2 linked regions of the Callithrix jacchus genome follow. The protein of the gene in region 2 binds, or shares a complex with, the protein of the main gene of each other region. Links are inferred from orthologs where the notes say so. Each region holds a gene or a part of one and is shown on either strand. Other genes may lie near its edges.

Evidence for each region. The genes of interacting proteins can lie anywhere in the genome.
Region 1: PAK1 (region 2) and DCP1A share a complex: the UniProt entries of both Homo sapiens proteins name them as parts of the cytoplasmic complex. The link is inferred for Callithrix jacchus from reciprocal best matches to the Homo sapiens genes PAK1 and DCP1A.

Annotation. Positions count from the first base shown.
Region 1 is NC_133516.1:35,874,513-35,878,908, reverse strand, and holds part of DCP1A (mRNA-decapping enzyme 1A), read left to right. Parts: intron 1-761; coding exon 762-802; intron 803-3,080; coding exon 3,081-3,208; intron 3,209-4,396. UniProt on the Homo sapiens protein: Necessary for the degradation of mRNAs, both in normal mRNA turnover and in nonsense-mediated mRNA decay. Removes the 7-methyl guanine cap structure from mRNA molecules, yielding a 5'-phosphorylated mRNA fragment and 7m-GDP.
Region 2 is NC_133511.1:63,592,189-63,596,584, reverse strand, and holds part of PAK1 (serine/threonine-protein kinase PAK 1), read right to left. Parts: intron 2,357-4,396; coding exon 2,182-2,356; intron 102-2,181; coding exon 38-101; intron 1-37. UniProt on the Homo sapiens protein: Protein kinase involved in intracellular signaling pathways downstream of integrins and receptor-type kinases that plays an important role in cytoskeleton dynamics, in cell adhesion, migration, proliferation, apoptosis, mitosis, and in vesicle-mediated transport processes.

The DNA.
Region 1 (4,396 bases), on a different chromosome or scaffold from region 2:
GACTACAGGCATGTGCCACCACGCCTGCCTAATTTTTTGTGGGGTTTTTTTGTTTGTTTGTTTTTGTTTTTTTGAGATGGAGTCTCTGTCGCCAGGCTGGAGTGCAATGGCGCCATTTTGGCTGACTGCAACCTCCAGCTCCCTGATTCAAGCTCCTGCCCCAGCCTGCCGAGTAGCTGGGATTACAGGCATGCGCCACCACGCCCAGCCAATTTTTGTGTTTTTAGTATTGACGGGGTTTCACCATGTTGACCAGGATGGTTTCAATCTCCTGACCACATGATCTGCCTGCCTCTGCCTCCCAAAGTGGTGGGATTACAGGTGTGAGCCACTGCACCTGGCCCCTTTCTTTCTTTTTTTAAAATTAACTTGTATAAACTTTAAAGGAGAAGATATTGCAGTATACAGGAACTTAGCTTTAAAGAAATCTGACTAAAACATTTTAGCTTTAAAAAGTGAAGGTTTATTCTATGATTTTTCTCCTTTACTAATTAAAAAAAAAATGCTGCAGATACAGACATGTTGCTGGATTAAAAACAATCCATATGCTTATGTATGTATCAGTAGCACTGAAAGGATACATTAGACATAGTAACCACAATTTATGGAATGAGAGGGAGACTTTACCTCAAAAGTGGTTAATTTTATAATAAATGAAATGAAACAAGTAGATCTTAAACATGACGCATTACTTCTCCATTGGGACTATTTGGGGTTGGATTATGGGGAAAAAAAACTAATTGACTCATTGTCTATCATAGGAGAAGACTGATATAGAAGGGACCTTATTTGTATATCGAAGGTAAGTTTTTAAAATATGTATATTTGTTTTTAACAGTCTAATGGTGAACAGTGTCAAACAGTTCAATTCTGTTGTACATTTGTCTTTGGAACCTTCCTGCTACTCCCCTTCAAGTTTTTATTCTTCTCTAGCTGTGAAATCTTAACCAAGTTCTTTTCTCTGAGCCTTTCTGTGATTCAGAAAAAACGGAACTAGAATTTATATTAGCAGCCTAGCAAAGCAATTTCAAATGATTGAGTCTAAAACAGATGCCTGCCTCTCTCCCCTTGCCCCCATATTAGAAAGAAAAAAAAAAGGCATATATTTGGGGAAAAGGCAATACATAGACTAGCTCTATAAAATAATGTAATTGAGAGGTCGATCCCTCTGTTCTTTTCTTCTGTGCCTGGTTCTGTCCTCTTTCCCAACCCCCAGAAGTTCTAGATTATGTGTAGTATCTTGTTTGAGAGTTCTTTAGAAAGCTTGGATTATTCACGATAGCATGAATTTTTTATTTTCAACTTCTTCGAAAACTGATTAACTTTAAGATTGTCTTTAAGATAATCACATCTTAAATGTGATTGGTTTGCACATTGCAACTTTTTTGTTATGTAGCTTTTGGGGCCTAAAGACAACTGACACTATATTATAGTCACAGGGTCCTTGGCTTTCCTGGATATTCCTCTAAGGTCTTACTGTGACAGGAACAGGTTCCTTCCCTTGTTTTCTAAAGCTTAGTGAGTCAGTAGGAGTTACTACTGACATCTGGTCTTTTCCTTTTCTTTCTTTCTTTTTTTTTTTGTATGGAGTTACCTTTTAAGGATTGCCTTTCTTCATTGATGCTAATTTAAAAGAATTTGTCAAATAGTCTTCTAAATTTTGATACAAAGCTTTGAGATCTTGTCTAAACGCACTCATTTTTTCCTTCTTTTAAGTGTAATTCTTTGATATTTGTACACCAAGCTCTTCTTTCTTAGACGCTTTGTTCCCTGCTATTCATCTTTCTCCTTTTAAATAGGCAGGGATCTTTACCCTCACTCTCTTCATTCGTAATATAAATCTCTAGAAACTCTGTTATTAGAATCTTGGTTTCTATGACATTTGGAAAAATAACTTTACTGGCTTTATTGTTATAGTACAGAAGCACTGATTGTAGAAAGTGGGAGATTTAGTGTAGTGAGTGTATGGATTTAATACAATTCGCGGAGGCTTACTGGTACTGATTCTAATTAAAGGAAACCGAAGAAACTTTGTTTGGAAAATGTGAGACTATTTTGCGTACCTTGGATAAAGGTATACCTGGATGTCAGAATATCACTTTGCAGAGATTACTTCGTATAGAAGAAGCCTGGATTTGGAGTCAAAAACCTGAAACTGAATCCTAGTTACATTATTTGTATGACCTCAGGCACAGGCCTTAATCATTCAAAACTTGTCTCCTAATCTCTCTATGTGTATCCTAGATAAACAAATAAAAATCTATGAAGTGTTAGGTACAAGTGAAGAGTATCTAAGGGGTCATGTACTGAATCCCTCTAATATGGGAACCGAGGATGCTTCCTATTGTAGATTCAAGGCATTTTTCATCTAACTCAGGAGCGCTATGTAAAGATCAATTTGGTGCAAGAAAAGCCATTATTATAATGATGGGCAGTCATTATAGCCAATCCAATTGAATTGATATTTCATTCAGCAGTGGTGTGTCTATCTTAGGAAATATGTGTGAAAAACTTAAGACAAAAGCTTCATTTGCATGGGGCTTACATCCTAGTGGGGGGAGGACAATAAATATTAAAAATAAGTGGTATGGATAAAAGAGGAAGATTAGAGACATTGAGCTTGGGAACATTAAAAAGGGTAGTTATTAAGAAGTGACATCTGAACAAAAGCTTGCAGATGAGATACCTATTGCAGATTCTGGGGCAGTGATCCAGGCAGAGGTCTTTAGGTAGAAGCACACATGTAGAGAGAGTGGCAAGGAGCCCAGTGTGGCTGGAGAAGAGTTGCTGGGGAAGAGCAATAGGAAACCAAGTCGAAGGGGGAGTACCTCAAGTAAAGCCTTGGTGGCCTCAATAAAGACTTTGGCCTTTACTCTAAGGAACTGTCTTTAGAGACTTCTCATCAGAAGAGGAGTATGATCTGACTTAATTGTTTTGTTTCCAGGTTTAAGTGCGGATAATATTGTATAGTGTTCTAACTTATTTATTCTTTTTTGAAATGAAAATAAAGTACATAGTAGATAACATTTCTACAGATTAAATGGTAACTAAGTATTTTTTTTTCTTCTGTTAAATCTAAGGTCAGCTTCCCCTTATCATGGTTTTACCATTGTGAATCGACTAAATATGCACAATCTAGTTGAACCAGTGAATAAAGATTTGGAATTTCAGCTCCATGAACCATTTCTTCTGTATAGAAATGCAAGCTGTAAGTATATCTGTTTCAATATGATTATTACATTTAAAATTGAGTGACCTTAGTTTCTATCAATCCATTATTTAGGAAGTTTCAAATTACAAAACAAAATATGGTCTGTACTTTATAAATGAGTCTGTTAGGAAGATCAAATCTTTTAAACTGGGCTCTGAGGCCAGGTGTAGTGGCTCACACCTGTAATCCTAGCACTTTGGGAGGCTGAGGAGGGCAGATCACCTGAGGTCAGAAGTTCAAGACCAGCCTGGTCAATGTAGTAAAACCCCATCTTTACTAAAAAATACAAAAATTAGCTGGGTCTGGTGGTGCACGCCTGTAGTCCTAGCTACTTGGGAGGCTGAGGCAAGACAATGGCTTGAACCCTCGAGGCAGAGGTTGCAGTGAGCTGAGATCTTGCCTTTACACTCCAGCCTAGGTGACGGAGCAAGACTCCGTCTCAAAAAAAAAAATTAAAAAATAAAGAGATTCAGAGATGCATAACAGATATTCTGTTGAAGAGTTAGGATTACAACTCTTCTGCTTTCTAGTCCAGGGTTCTTTCAGGCATTTTTACAGTCTCTAGTAATGATTGGATGCATTCAGCAAAGCTAGACTGGCCTTCCCAAGAAAGTACAGTACTAAAAAATATATTTGTTTCCAGTATTTTAGTATGGATATTGAAAGTATGGGTGTTTGAGGACAAATTGTTTGTCATTGACTATAGAGATCAAAATTAGTTGTGGTAACAATGATTGTGCTCTAATTATCATCTTAAGGATATTGTTGGAGAAATGTTGCTTCTAACTTAAAAAGTAAAAGTTAATGTGTTTGAATTTCACTCAGCCAGGAGGTAATTGGTCTTGGTGGGGGATGTCTTCAGTATAAAATAGAAAACTTTACTAGAAATTGTACACCTCTTAATTCCCTGAATGAGAAGTAACAAGGTCTATTTTAAAGCTAGAAATCCCCAAGTTCTTTTCCATAGCTCATTTTTAAGTATAAGTGAAACAGGATCTATCTTTAGACTTTTCAGTAAACTATTTTTCCAGGTAATTACCTCTCAGATTTTAAATTCTGTGGACGTAGACATGCTTTGTAATAGCTGTAAGTTCAGATGGATTTATTTAAACTAATATTAATAATGTAATTATTTCGGATTGCTCTTTTCTTTGTACTGAATATTCCATTAAAGGGAAAACTCGG
Region 2 (4,396 bases):
AGTCATTTTTCCAGAGAAAGAAAATGCCCCTACTAACCCTTGTCCAATCTTCTCAAACCGTGTATATTTCTTCTTAGGATCGCCCACACTCACTATGCTTCCTTTGAAAGAAAGAGAGACCATGAATCATTTTTTCCCAAATCAAGATACAAAAAAGGTCCTACATTTCCCCAACCCCTGGAGTTGGCAAGGATTAAAGAACTACCTCCAACAGCCAAAAAGCATGCTAAATAGGCCCTCAGCTTTTCCCCCGTAAGTCCCAACCAAAAGTTTCATCTCTTTAACTGCTTTGATTCATAGTAAGCTATCCCATTTCTAAACTCCTAAAAATCTATGCATTCATTTTTTAATTAATCCATTCAATAAATATTTACTCATTTAATATGCACCAAGCCATATGCTGAGGTAGGAATGAACAGATGTGACACAGTCAAGGCAGTCCCTGCTCTCAAGAAGGTCAATTTCATGGGAGAAGACAGATAAGCATGAAGTTCCATGAAAATATAATTGCTGTGATAAATGACAAAAGGGTACAGAAAGAGGCACCAAAAAAAAAAGAGAGAGAGAGAGAGAGAGACTGGAAAAGCTTCAGAAAGGTGATATATAGACTGATTTCTACTTTAACTAAGTAGGAGTTAGCCAGAGAGATAAGTAGAGAAGAGGTTTACAACAAAGAATACTTCAAGTGCAAAGACATAGAGGTTTTTCATTGGGTATTACAACGTGTATTTTAGGGATGGGGAAATTGAGGCCCACAGAAGGGAAGAAGATACTTCCCCAAGGTCACACAGTAAATTGGTGTCAGAGCTAAGATTAGGAGTTTCGTTTTTAGTCTCCCAGTCCAATGTGCTCTCCATTAATACCCAAGTACTAAAAATTGGTACTTTTCATATAAATTACCTCATTTGATTTACAAATGAGACAAGTATTAACATCCCTATTTTAAAAATGAGAAAAATAAAGTTTAGAGGACAGTAGAAAATTGCCCAAGACACAAGTCAGTGGCTGGGCAGAAGCTTCAACTCAAGTGTCCTACCTCCCAGACCAAGTCTGTTTTCCATAATTCTAGGTATTATTGTTAAAAAAAAAAAATTCTAGTTTAGAGAACAAGACTATATACAGGAGTAACTAGATAACTAGACAAGTGGCTTTTCTTACTTTGTCATTTTATGAGGGATCCAGAAAAGGGCAATTTTTAAAATAGTGAAAATTTTTTTTAAAGTCACACGGGAATTAATCAGGAAGAACTAGAGAACCAGAAACCTTGGCTTTGGAAAGCAATGCCAGTTTGCAAATGTCACCAAATCAGTCACATCAAATCCTCTTTGGAAGTAAGTAGATACAGTGAATAAATTAAAGCCCTTGTCAAATGATTCTTCCAAGCCCACAGATCAACCTAGTTCTTCCTTCTAATATGAATTCTTTTGCAGTTTATACAGAAGTAAGCTACCCTAACATACCCCCATTTCTGGCAGCTAAAGAAAGTAAAATGGAAGTTTCCACTTGACAGCAAGTACATGCTCTACTTACAGGAACAAAAACTTATGTTCTAACCTTAGCCCTGTCACTTTTTAGCTGTGTGATTTTGGCCAGGATGTTTAGCCTCCCTGAGCCTCAAGTATCTTAATTACAAAAATTAGGACCATAATGCTTTTCTTCACAGGGTTAACAAGAGAATTAAATTTTTAAAAGTCAAGAAAATATTTTGCTCGTCATTTGATACATACTACAGGTTCATAAAATGTTAACTTCCCTTCCCTCTTTTCCTACAACCAAGATGGCAGATCTGTCTTCTCCTAGGTCAATGGCAAAACATCAATAATCAATCAGAGTGCCCTTTTCCACTAGGTCCTCAGTCTTTCTCAACATGGCATTCTAGACTATTCATTAGAGAAAAACTATTTGTTATCTCTATAATCCATGCCTAGGGGCAAAGGGTGCCCTACCCTCGAAGTGAGCTATTCACACTCTCTCCCACCACATCTTCATTCTAACATAGTATCCAACCAGGGCTGTAAGACATGGAAGGAAGGTGCAGGGGCAGGGTAAGAAGCAGTCTGTGGCTAAGGTACCAAGCATGGCCAGACAGCCACATGGACAAAGCCTAAAACCAAGAATCTCATCTCTGTGCTTGACCAGTCATGGAGCAAAGAAAGGTTCAGAAAGCTACAAATTCCTTACGTAATTTCTCCAAGATCTCCTCATCAGACATTTTAGGCTTCTTCTTCTGCTTCTCAGTATTCCGGGTCAAAGCATCTGGTGGAGTGGTGTTATTTTCAGTAGGTGAAATGGGAGATGTAGCCACGTCCCGAGTTGGAGTGACAGGAAGTGGTTCAATCACAGAGCGTGTGTATACCTGCATTATTAGTGCAAAATTTTGGCAAGGCCAGCCTTTGTTAGCATAGGGGAACCTCTCCTAGATGTGAGGTTAGAACATCCACAGAACAAATCCCAATAAACTCATCCTTTCTCCTATGTCCAAATTTATATTACGCCTCCTCTGTGCCCAGGCCCATCCATTCTGGGTAAAACGGCCTTCCTTGCTCTCCCTGTACACAATAGAAGTGAGAATCTCAGCACTAAAGATATTCAATAGAGGCTAGACAACTATCAAAAGAAATTAGTTAAAGACAATTTTATTAGATAAGTATCCCCTTCATCTGTAACATTTTATGCATCCCCAAGCTAAAAGAAATACCCTGTATTCCCAGAGCACTTTGCATTAGTAGCACAACACCAACTTCTATTGAGTTACTCCCTCCTTACATCCTGAACCCTTGCAGGGAAGGAACTACTTTTGTTCTTCATCAAGAGGCAGTACAGTGTGGTAATTTAGAACACAGACTCTGGAACCTGACTGCCTGAACTTAAACCCCAACTCTTTATTTTTACCTTCTACATGACTTTGGGCAGATTACTTAACTTCACTGTGCTTCACTATCCTCATCTATAAAGTGGTGATAATAATGACACCTATTTTATGGGGTTGCTATAGGAGTAAACTGATTAATATGTGAGGTAATCAGAATCATCCCTAGCAGACATTAAGCACTCAAATTTTATCTTTCAAAAATATTAAATGTTCTATTCATCATTTACATAACAAACATTTACTGGGAATCTACTTGTCTCACCTTGTATAAAATGCTACTCCATCCTCTCATTCTTATAAAGGAGGTGAGAAAATCATAAGTACAAGAAAGGGATAAATGTCATAAAGAAATGAGCAAGCTATATACTACTGAGGTTCAGAAATGATTGTTAAGTTATGCTTCCTTTCTCTAGGGGATGCTTCAAGGTATTTATCAGATTTTATCATAAAAATATCACAATTATTGTTTGCATAGTCTATAAGCTGTATAAGGACAGGGAATGTGGGTCATTCATCCCTGAGTTCCTCCACCTAACCACTTAACAAAAAAGCAAGGATTCAGGTAAATATTTGGTGGAATAAATGAATAAACAGGATCCTTCAGCAGGATCCTGAAAGATGGATAGGCTTCTACAAAGAACAGAGGATGATTTATCTATGATGATCATTTATCTGCAAAGATGCAAAGCCATTGGCAGCAGCAGGACTCAAACCCACGGCTCCACAGACACTAAAACCTACTAAATCCTGCACCTTGGACTGCTTGACCACGCTACCTTTTGACTGGATGGGCTTTTAATAGGTGGAAATGGGAGAGAACTTTCCATGTAGTGGGAACAGCAATAAGCCAAGACACTAAGATCAGAGGCAATGGCTTCTTTCCTGATTACTACTCTAGTATAATGATTGCTCAATTTTCTATTCTTGTACCTGTAGACAAACTATATCCCAGGCACCTAAACCTATACTTTCATGCCTTGACCTCTTTTGCCTGTCCTGATATGTCTCTTTGAAGACAGCTTGCCTTTTCCTTCTCTAATAGTCTCCTTCTCTGGCTTCTAGCACAGGTTTACACATACAAAAATACCACTGTGCTATGATGCAAAACAACCTGGAGTTGGGGGTAATTACCTGCTTTCAAATCCTGGCTCTTTAGTTTACTAAGAGACTGGGCAGATCAATTCACCTCTCCAAATCTCAGCTGCTTCTTATATAAATTAGGAATTAACAATACCTTTTTAGAAAGAAATGCTATGAAGATTGAATTTATCAATCTATTCATTCATTCAATATTTACTGCCCTCTGATATTTACCCACCTCTGCAGGTGCCAAGAACTATGTTAAGCACTAGAAATAAACACATATGGATATCCTCTACTTTTTGAGGTGTTCATGGCTTACTGAGAAAAAAAGTCTTAAATGAACATGTTTACAAACCAAAAGAAACCATATCAGTGTTAGCAACTCTCCAATTCTGAAGCCCAATTTTCCTTAAGGTAATTTTGTGACCTACAGAGAAGATG